Stegostoma tigrinum: one gene and its partner. The protein of the gene in region 1 purifies or fractionates together with the protein of each later gene. This does not show direct contact. Links are inferred from orthologs where the notes say so. Each region holds a gene or a part of one and is shown in the gene's direction. Other genes may lie near its edges.

What was found.
Region 2: the proteins of plcg2 (region 1) and lyn purify together in Homo sapiens (affinity purification with western blotting; 3 studies listed by BioGRID, with this or other methods). This does not show direct contact. The link is inferred for Stegostoma tigrinum from reciprocal best matches to the Homo sapiens genes PLCG2 and LYN.

What each region holds. Positions count from the first base shown.
Region 1 is NC_081369.1:46,215,034-46,222,110, forward strand, and holds the start of plcg2 (1-phosphatidylinositol 4,5-bisphosphate phosphodiesterase gamma-2), read left to right. Parts: upstream 1-4,063; 5' UTR 4,064-4,098; coding exon 4,099-4,294; intron 4,295-7,077. UniProt on the Homo sapiens protein: The production of the second messenger molecules diacylglycerol (DAG) and inositol 1,4,5-trisphosphate (IP3) is mediated by activated phosphatidylinositol-specific phospholipase C enzymes. It is a crucial enzyme in transmembrane signaling.
Region 2 is NC_081358.1:65,317,770-65,325,750, reverse strand, and holds the start of lyn (tyrosine-protein kinase Lyn), read left to right. Parts: upstream 1-4,961; 5' UTR 4,962-4,996; coding exon 4,997-5,016; intron 5,017-7,981. UniProt on the Homo sapiens protein: Non-receptor tyrosine-protein kinase that transmits signals from cell surface receptors and plays an important role in the regulation of innate and adaptive immune responses, hematopoiesis, responses to growth factors and cytokines, integrin signaling, but also responses to DNA damage and genotoxic agents.

The sequences.
Region 1 (7,077 bases):
CACAAATGTGAAGCTGAGTGCACAGTTATATCAGTCATGATCTTACTGAGTGGTAGAACAGGCTTCATTTGCCAAATTGCTGACTCCTGCACCTATGTTCTTATGCTGGTACTGATATCTTAGCTATAATTCAGCTGGAACTGGCCTTACTGGCACACAAGATCACAAAATTTTAAGTGTAATTTGTTTGCAGTGCAGCTTGAGCTTCCATAGTCTTTTGACTTTTAGGTTGAGAAGCATTGTATCTGAAGTAAACCTCATCTACAATGCTGAATAATAGCCCTGGGTGTAATAATCATAGCTAGGAATTTCCACAATTTGTATCAATTTGCAGGTATGTTAGAATGCTTTAAAAATTAAGCTTGCACTGCTGGGTGAAAAGAAACTGAAAGGGATTTTCGAAAAACCTCCAAACGTGCTTTTTCATTTAATTTAGTAGGAAACTGACTAACTAACCAACATAAGTAGAAAATGGTTTCATATTCTTTAAAATGTAAAATGCCAGTTATTTAAAATTGGATTACTCAGAGAAGGTGGATGAACATTAATTAAAAATGCTTATTTTTACGATAAACCTATATCCATCTGTTTTAATCAGAACTCATTCCCTGCTTTTGCCTCCAAGTTTCCCTGCACCCTGTCTCCAGTGACTCCTCTCTGGCCCCCAGCCTGTTCCCAAGAGGCAGTCATCTTCAACTGAAAATTTAACCCCTCTTCTCCCTCCTCAGCCCTGCTGACCATTTTCAGTATTTACTCTTAATTGTCAATGGTTTGGCTTCAAGATAGCATTTCTTGAACATCTTCAGCACAATGTTTTGCTTTCACAGATTATAGCTAAATATGCTTCCTCACCTTGTATATGCCCCACAGGCAACCCAGAAAGCATTTCCCAAAAATGAATGCATGCTGTGAAGAAAAATAGGATACAGATGACTACAGGAAATGTCTGAGCAGTGTCAGGAGATCTAAAAGAGAATATCTCTTCTAATAGAAATTACAATGGGGGATATTATTCATACTAAGGCGCTGTCCATCTTTTTTTTCAAACTTCAAGAACAATTTGTTAAGAAAAATGCCCAGATCTTGAGCATAAAATCAGGGCTTACATTCTGGTACAGTATTGAGAGATTGCTGCATTGTCGGATTTTTTGTTTGTTTGGATGAGACGTTAAACCAAGAACTTAACTGGTCTCTCAGATGTGTGTAAAAGATTGCGAAGTGGTATTTCAAACAGCTGAGGAATTAACCTTTATACTTTGGACTATATTTAATTTTCAAAGGACATCACAATAACCAATTAGCTGGTCAGTATCACATTGTTGGTCGTGGAAATGGCAGTTGCCGACATATTTGTTTCTGACATGTATTTTGTAAAAGCGTTTCATTGACTTTAAGGAGTTTTGGAACATGATAAATCCATGAAGGTTATTATATGTATGCCTTCAAACAGATTTGTAATAGTAAATTCCAATTACCCTGTTACACAGCAGATTTCTCTAGCAGTTAAGTATTGTTCGAATTTGTGCATTCGCTAACCATCAGTCTGGTTTCTATTCATCTTTGGAAACCTATCAACTCCAAAGTCTGCCTCTCCCGTAATGTAGTGCATATTTCAAAAGACATACTTTAAACTTGTTTTCCAAACCTCACTACTCATCATCCTTAACCACAGGTTTTGTTTCCTTATCCATCTCCCTGTACAAATACAGCCTAATAAAATATTCCCTCACACATAAAATTATAGAACAAAAGCCTTGATTAGCTATTTTAGTGCATTGTTAACGAAAGACTACATTCACAGTGCTTGTTAAAAATTATGATTTTATGCTACTGTATTATTCTGTCAGATAATTACATGCAGCAAATCAAAGCCATGCTAGACTAGCAAACATCATCAAATTTATGAACAAAAGCAAAGTTACTGGAAAAGCTCAGCACGTCTGGCAGCTTCTGTGAATGAAAAAACAGAGTTAAAAACCAAAAGAACTGCGGATGCTGTAAATCAGGAACAAAAACAAAGTTGCTGGAAGAGCTCAGCAGATCTGGCAGCATCTGTGGAGGAGAAAACAGAGTTAACCTTTCAGGTCCGGTGACCCTTCCTCAGAACTCAGGATCAAATTTATTTCAAGTTTGCTGCAGGAATTCTCCTGCTAACTTAGTTAACCCTTTCACCCATTAAATTCTATATTTTCAATCGGCTTCCGGATCACTAAAACTAACATTTGTTACTGTTTTTAAGTGGTATCCTCGCTTTCCAATGTACGTCGTCTATAATGATACCACAGAAGTACAACCAGGTCTCAATACTTCGGCATGTAAAATGAGAAGGAATTACTTTATCGCTTTATAAGAGGAATTGTGCATTTGTGTTAAGCCTTTGAATTAAAGTTAAAGACTTGGAAATGACATGACAGATGAAAAATTTGCCCAAAAAACAAAATCCTAAAGTTCTTAACCTTTAGAGACAGGGCAGATTTGCGATAGTTAAAAGGGAATAACAATAAGGTACAGCCGTAGTTCAATCCATTTTGATCAGTGACAATGAGGAGTCATACATAGCTTGTATCAACTACAGGAAATTTATGTTGGAAGCAAAGAGAAACAAAGCATGAACTCCCTAATAACCCAGTTGGACGCAAACTGCAATCCTAATCAAGTAACTGACGGCAAGGAGGATTTAGGAGCAAGACTGTAGTGATATTGGTGCATAGATTTGTGCATATTCAGTGAAAGAAACTTATTATGCTCAGAGAAACTAAGAACTGCCGATGCTGGAGTCTGAGATAACACAGTGTGGAGCTGGAGAAGCACAGCAGGCCAGGCAACATCAGAGGAGCTGGAAAGCTGACGTCTCGGGTCGGGACCCTTCTTCAGAAGTTTTTTTATAGACAACATCCTTCTGAAGAAGGGTCCCGACCCGAAACGTCAGCTTTCCTGCTCCTCTGATGCTGCCTGGCCTGCTGTGTTCTTCCGGCTCCACACTTATAATAATGCTCACAGCTGTCGTGAAAACAACTTTATTAGATCAGAAGAAAGCTTTATTCAACGGAAGTGTCTTTCTATTTTTAATATAGAAAGAGGAAGAGAGAAAGAATGGGAGAGTAAAAGAGAGTGAAAAAAATCGCGCAGATATAAGAAACACAGTAGGAAGAAGCAAAAAGTAGACAATCGATTAGAGAGAACAGATAAATTAGAGAAAAGAAACCGGTTCTATTAATAATACGCTGGATGGTATCTGTAACTGTTACTATAACAAATATTTTGATTCCAACATTGCAACGGAAAATGCATGGAAGATCAATGAATGAATAGAAGCATTTGTAATAATCATCCGGCTACTCGAGCTGCAAACGCTATTGTAGTATTATTTTCCTGACCATTTAAAATATTTTGTTTTAATCACCAGTTAGATCTGTCTGCTTCTCAATGCTTACACGTTTGCACATTGAGACTCAAAACTGAAAAGTGATAATAGCACCTTTTTTTTCAGGACGAAGATGGTTTGCCGAGTTTGGAATGAAAGGGACCGCTCGGTGTTCAAAGATAATAAAATGTGAGGCTGGATGAACACAGCAGGCCAAGCAGCATCTCAGGAGCACAAAAGCTGACGTTTTGGGCTGGGTGTTCATGTCTGCGCCAGATGGCGCTGTGTAAATGAAACTGACACATCTGACTCCCTTCAATTTGTAACTAACGTACCTTTGGACAACTTCACAGTTTTGAATAGATCACATCAACGGCGTTTCCGGACCAAGTTTTTTTTTCAAAGAAAATTTAGCCAACTTCCTCATGCAGCCAAATTGCGGAACATGCAAGATGTTTGTTTTGTAGACATGAAAAACTTCTGGCCCTGTTCGTGTGCTCGAAGTGATCCTAAAAAAAAAGCCATTGTAGCGTTTCTTGGTCCCTGCAAAAGGTTCCAGATGAGGGGATTTGCTTGAAAGTATTCAGCGCAGCGCTCTGCCGTGCGTCTGTGTGTGCTTTAGCGACGACGAAGCTGGACGCCGATCCAGTTTCCTTTCATCGGTCTGAGTTGTTACAAAACTAAAAAGAGTCCGGGGGTTAGGGGGAGGGTGGGAGGGAAGGAGAGCGGCGAAGATGTCCTGGAATAAAGACGGTTTGGATTCTATGTCGGAGCCGGAGAAAAGTCAGCTGAAAAGGACCTTGGAGTTGGGTGCTGTGATGACAGTCTTCAGCCTGAAGAAGTCTCAACCCGAGAGGAGAACACTGCAGGTGATCATGGAAACTCAACAACTGTCCTGGAACAGGACGGCAGACAAGATCGAGGGAGTCCGTGAGTATCTATTCTCTCTGATGCAGGCTTCAGTCTGGCTGTACTGAGTGCTGCGGTACTCCTGCTGAGCTAACCATTTTCGGGCCAGTTTTTGAAAGGCTTTGAAGCACTGATTATCATTCTGCGCTGTGAATTAATTTCAGAAAGGTAAACTGCAAATAAGCCATCAAATCCTTGCCATTTAGTCAGCATTCTTAAATTTGCTTCTTTCTTAAAACGTTCCTTTCATTGAGACAGATTAAGGGAAGCATTTCCAGAGCAACCCACTTCAGAGAAGTTATGTTAACATAGAACATAACGGCACAGTACAGGCCCTTCGGCCCTCGATGTTGTGCCAACCTGTCATACCGATCTCAAGCCCATCTAAACTACACAATTCCATGTACGTCCATATGCTTATCCAATGACGACTTAAATGTACCTAAAGTTGGCGAATCTACTACCGTTGCAGGCAAAGCGTTCCATTCCCTTACTACTCTTTGAGTAAAGAAACTACCTCTGACATCTGTCCTATATCATTCATCCCTCAATTTAAAGCTATGCCCCCTCGTGCTCGCCGTCACCATCCTAGGAAAAAGGCTCTCCCTATCCACCCTATCTAACCCTCTGATTATTTTATATGTTTCAATTAAGTCACCTCTCAACCTTCTTCTCTCTAACGAAAACAGCCACAAGTCCCTCAGCCTTTCCTCGTAAGGCCTTCCCTCCATACCAGGCAACATCCTAGTAAATCTCCTCTGCACCTTTTCCAAAGCTTCCACATCCTTCTTATAATGCGGTGACCAGAACTGTACACAATACTCCAAGTGCGGCCGCACCAGAGTTTTGTACAGCTTCACCATAACCTCTTGGTTCCGGAACTCGATCCCTCTATTTATAAAAGCTAAAACACTGTATGCCTTCTTAACAGCCCTGTCAACCTGAGTGGCAACTTTCAAGGATCTGTGTACATGGACACCGAGATCTGTCTGCTCATCTACACTACCAAGAATCTTACCATTAGCCCAGTACTCTGCCTTCCGGTTACTCCTACCAAAGTGCATCACCTCACACTTGTCTGCATTAAACTCCATTTGCCACCTCTCAGCCCAGCTCTGCAGCTTATCTATGTCTCTCTGCAACCTACAGCATCCTTCGTCTCTATCAACCGGTTTACTCTCGTCTACCTGTTTGGCCACCTTCTCAAAGAACTCAAGAAGGTTTGTGAGGCACGACCTTCCCTTCACAAAACCATGCTGACTATCCCTAATCAATTTATTCTTTTCGAGAGGATTATAAATCCTATCCCTTATAACCTTTTCCAACACTTTACCAACAACTGAGGTAAGGCTCACTGGTCTATAATTACCAGGGTTGTCTCTACTCCCCTGCTTGAACAGGGGAACCACATTTGCTATCCTCCAGTCGTCTGGCACTGTTCCTGTAGACAATGACGGGTTAAAGATCAATGCCAAAGGCTCGGCAATCTCCTCCCTGGCTTCCCAGAGGATCCGTGGATAAATCCCATCTGGTTCAGGGGACTTATCTATCTTCACCTTCTGAAGGATTTCTAATACCTCTTCGTTGTGAACCTCAATCCCACCTAGTCTAGTAGCCTGTATCTCAGTATTCTCCTCAACAACATTGTCGATTTCTAGAGTGAATACTGTTGAAAAATATTCATTTAGCGCTTCCCCTATCTCATTTGACTCCACACACAACTTACCACTACTATCCTTGATTGGCTCTAATCTTACTTTCGTCATTCTTTTATTCCTTATATACCTATAGAAAGCCTTAGGGTTTACCCTGATCCTATCCGCCAACTTCTCATGTCTCCTCCTGGCTCTTCTGAGCTCTCTCTTTAGGAAACCAGGAAATAGCTTGCGCCCACTCTCCAAATTTGGGCAACATAACTCAGGCTGGCATTTCAACGCAGCACATAGGGGCTGTCTGGCTGTTTATTTGAGGCGGCAGCCAAGCCCTTGCTTCAAAATCTCATCCAAAAGCTGGTTTTAAAATTCTGTAATCAGATATGGTATCCACTTTCAAGAGAGACATGATGGCAAGGACTCATCTACCAAGTGAGTGAAAATGATTCCATGATACTATTTCAAAAAAGAGCAGCATCACCAAAACATATTACCCCGTCATTACCACGCCATTTGTGGGATCTTGCTGTGTACAATTTGGTTGCTGCCTTTCCTACATTATGATAATGATGAGAGAGTTAATGGAGGGCTTTGAGATAAAGAGGTTCATGACCTGAGATTATTTCCCCTCTTATTCCACATTAACACTGTGGAGACTCCCAAGTGCCCTTAAAACTAGCAGGGAAGCTGTCTCAGAGATAATAGGAACTGCGGATGCTGGAGAATCCAAGATAACAAGGTATAGAGCTGGATGAACACAGCAGGCCAAGCAGCATCAGAGCAGCAGGAAGGCTGATGTTTCGGGCCTAGACCCTTCATCAGAAAAGGGGGAGGGGAAGGGGGTTCTGAAATAAATAGGTCCAGAGGGGGAGGCAGATTGAAGACGTATGGAGGAGACGATAGGTGGAGTGTAGATACTCAAGTTAAAGAAGTGGATATGGAGCCAATAAAGGTGAGTGTAAGTGGGGAGGTAGGGAGTAAATAGGTCAGTCCAGGGAGGACAGAGAGGTCAAGGGGGCGGGGCAAGGTTATTGGAAATTGGGAGGAAATTGGGGGGGCGACTTGAGGTGAGAGGAGGGGACGAGTTGGGCTGGTTTTGGGATGCAGTAGGGGGAGGGGAGATTTTGAAGCTTGATAACATTGGGCTGCAGG
Region 2 (7,981 bases), on another chromosome or scaffold:
TAGATCACAGAATCCCAACAGTGTGGAAACAGGCCCTTCAGCCAACAAATCCACACTGACACTCAAAGCATCCCACCCAGACCATCCTCCTAATCTACACTTCCCTGAACACTATGGGCAATTCAGCATGGCCAAGCCACCTAGTCTGCACATCTTTGGAATGTGGGAGGAAACCGGAGCACCCAGATGAAACTCGCACAGAGAAAGGGAGAAGGTAGAAACTCCACACAAACAGTTGCCTGAGGGTGAAATCAATCCTGGGTCACTGGCACTGTGAGGCAGCAGTGCTAACCACTGAGCCACTGTGCTGTCCTTCCCACTACAGCTCGCAAGCAAAGTGAACTTTGTTGATGGATGCCCTCAATATTGGTGATCTTGCAGCTGCTCTCCATTCGTCACAGAACAGAAATCAATTGATGTGATTTAAATGAAGCCAAGGGGTTAAAATGATATGGAGGTGCCAGTATTGGACTGGGGTGGACAAAGTCAGAAGTCATATGATACCAGGTTATAGTCCAGGTGCACCTGATGAGGCTGCACTCCAAAAGCTTGTGTGATTCCACATTAATCAGTCGGACTGTTACCTGGTGTCATGTGACTTCTGAAAGAGTTTAAATAGCCCAGGTGTTGTCTCTTAAGTAGTAGATGAGTTTGTAATTCTTTTTGCTACTAACCTACCTACAGTTCAAATACTGCAATTTGAGGTAGAATGGCCTCACTACTTGTTGGCAGGTCATCTGGCTATGAATGAAAAATCTGTGTGCTGAGGACTATAAAGAATTTGACTCCTTAGCATTTTTCTTGTATTTCAGCTTGAATGTCGACCTGAGAATGAACTGGAACCATTGGTTGGGCCAACAGGCTAGAACTGAAATTAGGATAGCATGAAAACACAGGCTGATTTTTGTGGGACCTATGCCTACCAAATGAGAATTCTAAATATTGGTGGAGGATGTTTGAAAGGAAGGCTTTTTTTTTGCGCGTAATGGGTGCCAGATATCCAGAGGTGATTACAATTGAAGGAAACGTTGTCCAGGAGGAAGGTGCCCAAAGATTCGCTTGTGGCACTCAAAGGAACATTCTTTCCCTCCCTGGTCTACAAGGAAGCCTATACAAAGTTAAAATTTACATTTCTGGGTCTCTTTTGATTCTCAACCCAGTAGTGGGCAGGCCACTACTGTCTCTGCTTTAGCCTCCAATTAAAATGGCAGATGGTATTATTGAAGCTCAACCTGTATATTTAAAGAGTACACAATAAAACTAAGCTGGCTGTACTTGGAAAGGAGTCTCTCTTTTATTTCCTTTTATCAAGTTTCCACTCAGACAGAGTTACAATCAAGGCTAGTAGTGAGCATTTAGAAATACACCTAAAAATCTGGATAGCTGGCATGGATTTATTGACTTGGTTGCTATTTGCAAAGATAAGTTATGCAGTAGATGTCGTGTATTTTGTTTTCTGAATGAATTCAATAAAATATCTTGCAAGACTTTTATTGAAAAAATTCTAATGTCACAGTCCAAAACATGCAAATAGTTGAACAGGAAATGAACACTGATGACAAGTAAATATAGCTTGATGATTTGAGCTTGGTACAAAGAAATATGTGAATATTTTCTGATGAAATAAAAAGTAGTTAACAGGATTATGAAAGTCTTCAGAAAAACAAGCAGGTTTGTCTTTTCTATTTAGGGTTTAGAACATTTAATAAGAATAGGGAGGGGGGAAAAAGAGGAGGGGGTGTAGCACTACTAATCAGAGAGGGTATCACAGCTACAGAAGCTTCCTTTGTCGAGGAAGATCTGCCTACTGAGTCAGTATGGGTGGAAATTAGGAACAGCAAGGGAGTAGTCACCTCGTTAGGGGTTTACTACAGGTCCCCCAGTAGCAGCAGGGAGATTGAAGAAAGCATAGGTCGACAGATTTTGGAAAAGTGTGCACGCAGTAGGGTTGTTGTAATGGGTGACTTTAACTTTCCTAATATTGATTGGAACCTCCTTCGAGCAGAAGATTTGAATGGAGCTGTTTTTGTAAGGTGTGTTCAGGAGGGTTTCCTAACGCAGTACGTTGACAGGCTGACGAGGGGAGAGGCCATTCTTGACTTGGTGCTCAGAAACGAGCCGGGGCAGGTATCAGATCTTGTGGTGGGAGAGCATTTTGGTGATAGTGACCATAACTGCCTCACATTCTACATAGCTATGGAGAAGGAGAGGATTAGGCAATATGGGAGGATATTTAATTGGGGAAGAGGAAACTATGATGCGATTAGACATGAGTTAGGAAGCATGGACTGGGAGCAGTTGTTCCATGGTAAGGGAACTATAGACATGTGGAGACGGTTTAAGGAACAGTTGTTGGGAGTGATGAGTAAATATGTCCCTCTGAGACAGGCAAGAAGGGGTAAGATTAAGGAACCTTGGATGACGAGAGCGGTGGAGCTTCTCGTCAAAAGGAAGAAGGTAGCTTACATAAGGTGGAGGAAGCTAGGGTCAAGTTCAGCTAGAGAGGATTACATGCAGGCAAGGAAGGAGCTCAAAAATGGTCGGAGGAGAGCCAGGAGGGGGCACGAGAAAGGCTTGGCAGAAGGAATCCGGGAAAACGCAAAGGCATTTTACACTTACGTGAGGAATAAGAGAATGGTCAAAGAAAGAGTAGGGCCGATCAGGGATAGCATAGGGAACTTGTGTGTGGAGCCTGAGGAGGTAGGGGAAGCCCTAAATGAGTTTTTTGCTTCTGTCTTTACGAAAGAAACGAACTTTGTAGTGAATGAAACCTTTGAAGAGCAGGTGTGCATGCTGGAATGGATAGAGATAGACGAAGCTGATGTGCTGAAAATTTTGTCAAACATTAAGATTGACAAGTCGCCAGGCCCGGATCAGATTTGTCCTCGGCTGCTTTGGGAAGCGAGAAATGCAATTGCTTCGCCACTTGCGAAGATCTTTGCAACCTCGCTCTCCACTGGAGTCGTACCTGAGGACTGGAGAGAGGCAAATGTAATTCCTCTCTTCAAGAAAGGAAATAGGGAAATCCCCGGCAATTATAGACCGGTAAGTCTCACGTCTGTCGTCTGCAAGGTGTTAGAAAGGATTCTGAGGGATAAGATTTATGACCATCTGGAAGAGCATGGCTTGATCAAATACAGTCAACACGGCTTTGTGAGGGGTAGGTCATGCCTTACAAACCTTATCGAGTTTTTTGAGGATGTGACTAGAAAAGTTGATGAGGGTCGAGCTGTGGATGTGGTGTATATGGACTTCAGTAAGGCATTTGATAAGGTTCCCCATGGTAGGCTCATTCAGAAGGTCAGGAGGAATGGGATACAGGGGAACTTAGCTGCTTGGATACAGAATTGGCTGGCCAACAGAAGACAGCGAGTGGTAGTAGAAGGAAACTATTCTGCCTGGAAGTCAGTGGTGAGTGGAGTTCCACAGGGCTCTGTCCTTGGGCCTCTACTGTTTGTAATTTTTATTAATGACTTGGACGAGGGAATTGAAGGATGGGTCAGCAAGTTTGCAGACGACACCAAGGTCGGAGGTGTCGTTGACAGTGTAGAGGGCTGTTGTAGGCTGCAGCGTGACATTGACAGGATGCAGAGATGGGCTGAGAGGTGGCAGATGGAGTTCAACCTGGATAAATGCGAGGTGATGCATTTTGGAAGGTCGAATTTGAAAGCTGAGTACAGGATTAAGGATAGGATTCTTGGCAGCGTGGAGGAACAGAGGGATCTTGGTGTGCAGATACATAGATCCCTTAAAATGGCCACCCAAGTGGACAGGGTTGTTAAGAAAGCATATGGTGTTTTGGCTTTCATTAACAGGGGGATTGAGTTTAAGAGTCGTGAGATCTTGTTGCAGCTCTATAAAACTTTGGTTAGACCGCACTTGGAATACTGCGTCCAGTTCTGGGCGCCCTATTATAGGAAAGATGTGGATGCTTTGGAGAGGGTTCAGAGGAGGTTTACCAGGATGCTGCCTGGACTGGAGGGCTTATCTTATGAAGAGAGGTTGACTGAGCTCGGTCTCTTTTCATTGGAGAAAAGGAGGAGGAGAGGGGACCTAATTGAGGTATACAAGATAATGAGAGGCATAGATAGAGTTGATAGCCAGAGACTATTTCCCAGGGCAGAAATGGCTAGCACGAGGGGTCATAGTTTTAAGCTGGTTGGTGGAAAGTATAGAGGGGATGTCAGAGGCAGGTTCTTTACGCAGAGAGTTGTGAGAGCATGGAATGCGTTGCCAGCAGCAGTTGTGGAAGCAAGGTCATTGGGGTCATTTAAGAGACTGCTGGACATGTATATGGTCACAGAAATTTGAGGGTGCATACATGAGGATCAATGGTCGGCACAACATTGTGGGCTGTAGGGCCTGTTCTGTGCTGTACTGTTCTATGTTCTATGTTCTATGTTCTATTTAAATGCTGTGAATACGTAAGTAATGATGTTTGTTGAAAACTTCTGTTTATTGTTCTATGCGCAATTTTGGCTGCCTTAAAGGTCATTAAGGCATAGGTGTTGGAAATTGAGCACCCCCCAGAAAAAAACTATATAAACTCACCATTCCATATCTGGTGTTTCCTGTGTAACATGAGGCCTCCTCTAACTGTGTTGTAGTAGTAATGAGTCTTCTACTGGTGAAAAGATTTGTTGAGTGCCACACTAACCGACTATTAGTGCATGTTTTCAAAGCTAAAATAAAGTTCTGTTCTTTAGAAGCAATGAAAACTAATATTCAAATGGGGATGGGAAAGGGGACAGTGGGTTATCACAGGCTGTGTACTTTTTTTTTGCCTACTTAACTGATGTATAGTATTATCATATCTAAACCGCTGTTGAACAAACTCAATAAACTATTGAAAATTTTCTATAAATCATTGACTGCCTGCATGAGGAAACTGATCTCAAAGGCCCCAAAATCAATATAGGGCAGCAACAAGTGAAAGCCAATTCCAAGCGTTAAAGACCCAATAAAATCTGAATCAGAACATTGAATAATCCCTCCTATGACTGGGTGGGTTTGCAGGTGAGTAGAGATTTACTAAGCATTTCACCCTGACCTTTAGTTTGGGGAAAAAAAAGAGTGCAGAGCACTTATAATTCACCAGATGAGAGTGGAGCAGGAAATGTTTTTCAGTAAAACTGATAAGCTGAGATGCCTTCAAACAGCGAACTGAATAACTGCAACCATGCCTAGGTGAAACGCTACTGCTTACAACACTTTTGCTGAGTTTTTCTTGTTGCTTGGTACATATTGAATAAATCCTTGGAAATCTGTTCACTTTTCTTATACTTCTGTCACCTTGCACTGCTTGCTTGTCAACCTTCACTGCAATATGGTTTCACATGTTGTGGTGGCCAAGTGGTTAGCACTGCTGTCTCACAGCACCAGGGACCCAGGGTCAATTCCAGTCTAGGGCGACTCTCTGTGCAGAGTTTACACGTTCTCCCCATGTCTCCGTCGGTTTCCTCCCACAGTCTCAAGATTCAGGTTAGTGGATTAGTGCAGGTTAAGTGGATTGGCCATGCTAAATCGCCCGTAGTGTTTAGGGATGTGTAGATTAGATGGGTTATCGCGGGGTTGGATCTGGTTGGGATGCTCTGAGGGTCACTGTGGACTTGTTGGGCTGAAGGGCCTGTTTCCACACAGTTGAGATTCTATGAATATGGGATCAGCTTATGCAAGTCTACATCAGACCTCTGATATGGAAAAAGATGAGCAATAGCAAGAACAACATCAGCTTCCTTCTCCTTAGCCACTTCTTGTTTTACATTATGGAGGATTTGAACATGGAGCTCCAACTCCAAAGAAATGAGACCCCTTAAACAGTCTACAGGTTTAGAATGTGTTGTTTTTTACTTTGTATAACACCAGTTACTTGAGAATCAAGCATTCATAAGCAAATCATTGCCATCAGCCTCTTGGAACAAATCCTCCCTGCCAGTGGACCAATTAGGCTGGTATTACCAGCAACCATCAAGGAGACTATCACTGAAGATCCCCATACCCTTCCTCTCCTTGGATTTCTTTTCTCTTCTCTATAAGGAGAGAAAGCAGAGAGTTGTAAATAATGGACTGTATGGATCAGAAAGTATGAACCTGTGTGAATTGTGACTGTGTGAGCTTGGTGTAACATGATACAGAAATGAATGCATGTTGGCTACCCAGATGGGAACGAGTGATCTCTTACAAGATGAGGTATTTGGTTTGAGGAATGCTGGGCAGGGAAATGCTGGGAATATCAGAAATATCTGAAGAGTTTTGACACACTCTTTTGCTCAGATGAATTCCTTGAAAGTCTCGGGCTCTTAGCAGAGGATTCCTTGAACTGTTCACTTCCTTGACCATCTGCTTAGTTGGAGAGGCTGCCCTCTTTCTTCAGTCCTTGACTAATATCACCCAACTTCACCACCACCGCTCCCCCCACCGCCACCACCGGTCCCACGGCAACAAATCCAAGTAAGAGACAGAAACACCAAAAGCATCCTCCTTTGACCTTGCTTTGTAATGCTGTGGTTGCTGAAGACACGGGAATCCATGTACAAGTTGTTTCCAGGACATCATCCTGCCTGCCCTCACTCTGATTCGAAACAGAATGTTAATGTTATGTTAAATAGCCATGGTAATGACCATTAACAGAACAAGTGGGTTCGTGACCTGCTTAAATGTGTTTTTGTCAAGTTAATATTTTTCCCATGGAGAATATAGGAGTGAAGAATGGGAAATTCAGAGTAAGTACTCAAGAATCTAAAGCCATTTCTGCTGAATGAGATTTACTGCGCTGTCACAACTGGGGCATTTACAGCCATTCTCACTCAGAATTGCCTAGTGGGTGATCCATTTTGGCTTCTTCCTGAGGTCTTCAGCATCACAAATACAAGTCTTTAATTTGATGCACTCCATGTAAGCTCAAGAAATGGCTGAAGCTACTGGATACTGCAAAGGATATAGTCTTTAACAGTATTCTGGCAAAGTACAAAAGAATTGTGCTCTTGAGTTTACTGGACCCTAGGTATTTCGGTGCAGCTACAGCACTGGTATCTACCCATCAGTATGGAAAATAATCCAAATATATCCTGTCCACAAAATGCAGGACAAATCCAACATAGCCAATTACCACCCTATCAAAGTGTTGGATGGGAGTGTCAACAGTGTTGTCAAGCAGTATTGGCTCTGCAATAACCTGCTTACTGCCATTCATTTTGGATTCAACCAAGCCCTTTCAGCTCCTGGCCTCATTACAGACCCATTTTAAGTGACAAATAATGACCACCTATTTTGAAGTTCAATAGGATTAGCATTACCATCAATGAATCTGCATTTGTGTGTTGATATCCACGTACCTTAATTGCTAACGGAGTCTTTCGTCTCATTTCCAGAAGGCCTTTTGAAAGTTTACCTGTACTATCATGTGGAACTATTATGTCATGAGACCTATTCATGTTTAACTGAACAGAGAACATAGAACAGTACAGGCCCTCAGCCCTCGATGTTGTGCCAACCTGTCATACCGATCTCAAGCCCATCTAACCTACACTATTCCACGTACATCCATATGCTTATCCAATGATGACTTAAATGTACCTAAAGTTGGCGAATCTACTACCGTTGCAGGCAAAGCGTTCCATTCCCTTACTACTCTCTGAGTAAAGAAACTACCTCTGACATCTGTCCTACATCTTTCACCCCTCAATTTAAAGCTATGCCCCCTCGTGCTCGCCGTCACCATCCTAGGAAAAAGGCTCTCCCTATCGACCCTATCTAACCCTCTGATTATTTTATATGTTTCAATTAAGTCATCTCTCAACCTTCTTCTCTCTAATGAAAACAGCCTCAAGTCCCTCAGCCTTTCCTCATAAGACCTTCCCTCCATACCAGGCAACATCCTAGTAAATCTCCTCTGCACCCTTTCCAAAGCTTCCACATCCTTCTTATAATGCAGTGACCAGAACTGTACATAATACTCCAAGTGCGGCCGCGCCAGAGTTTT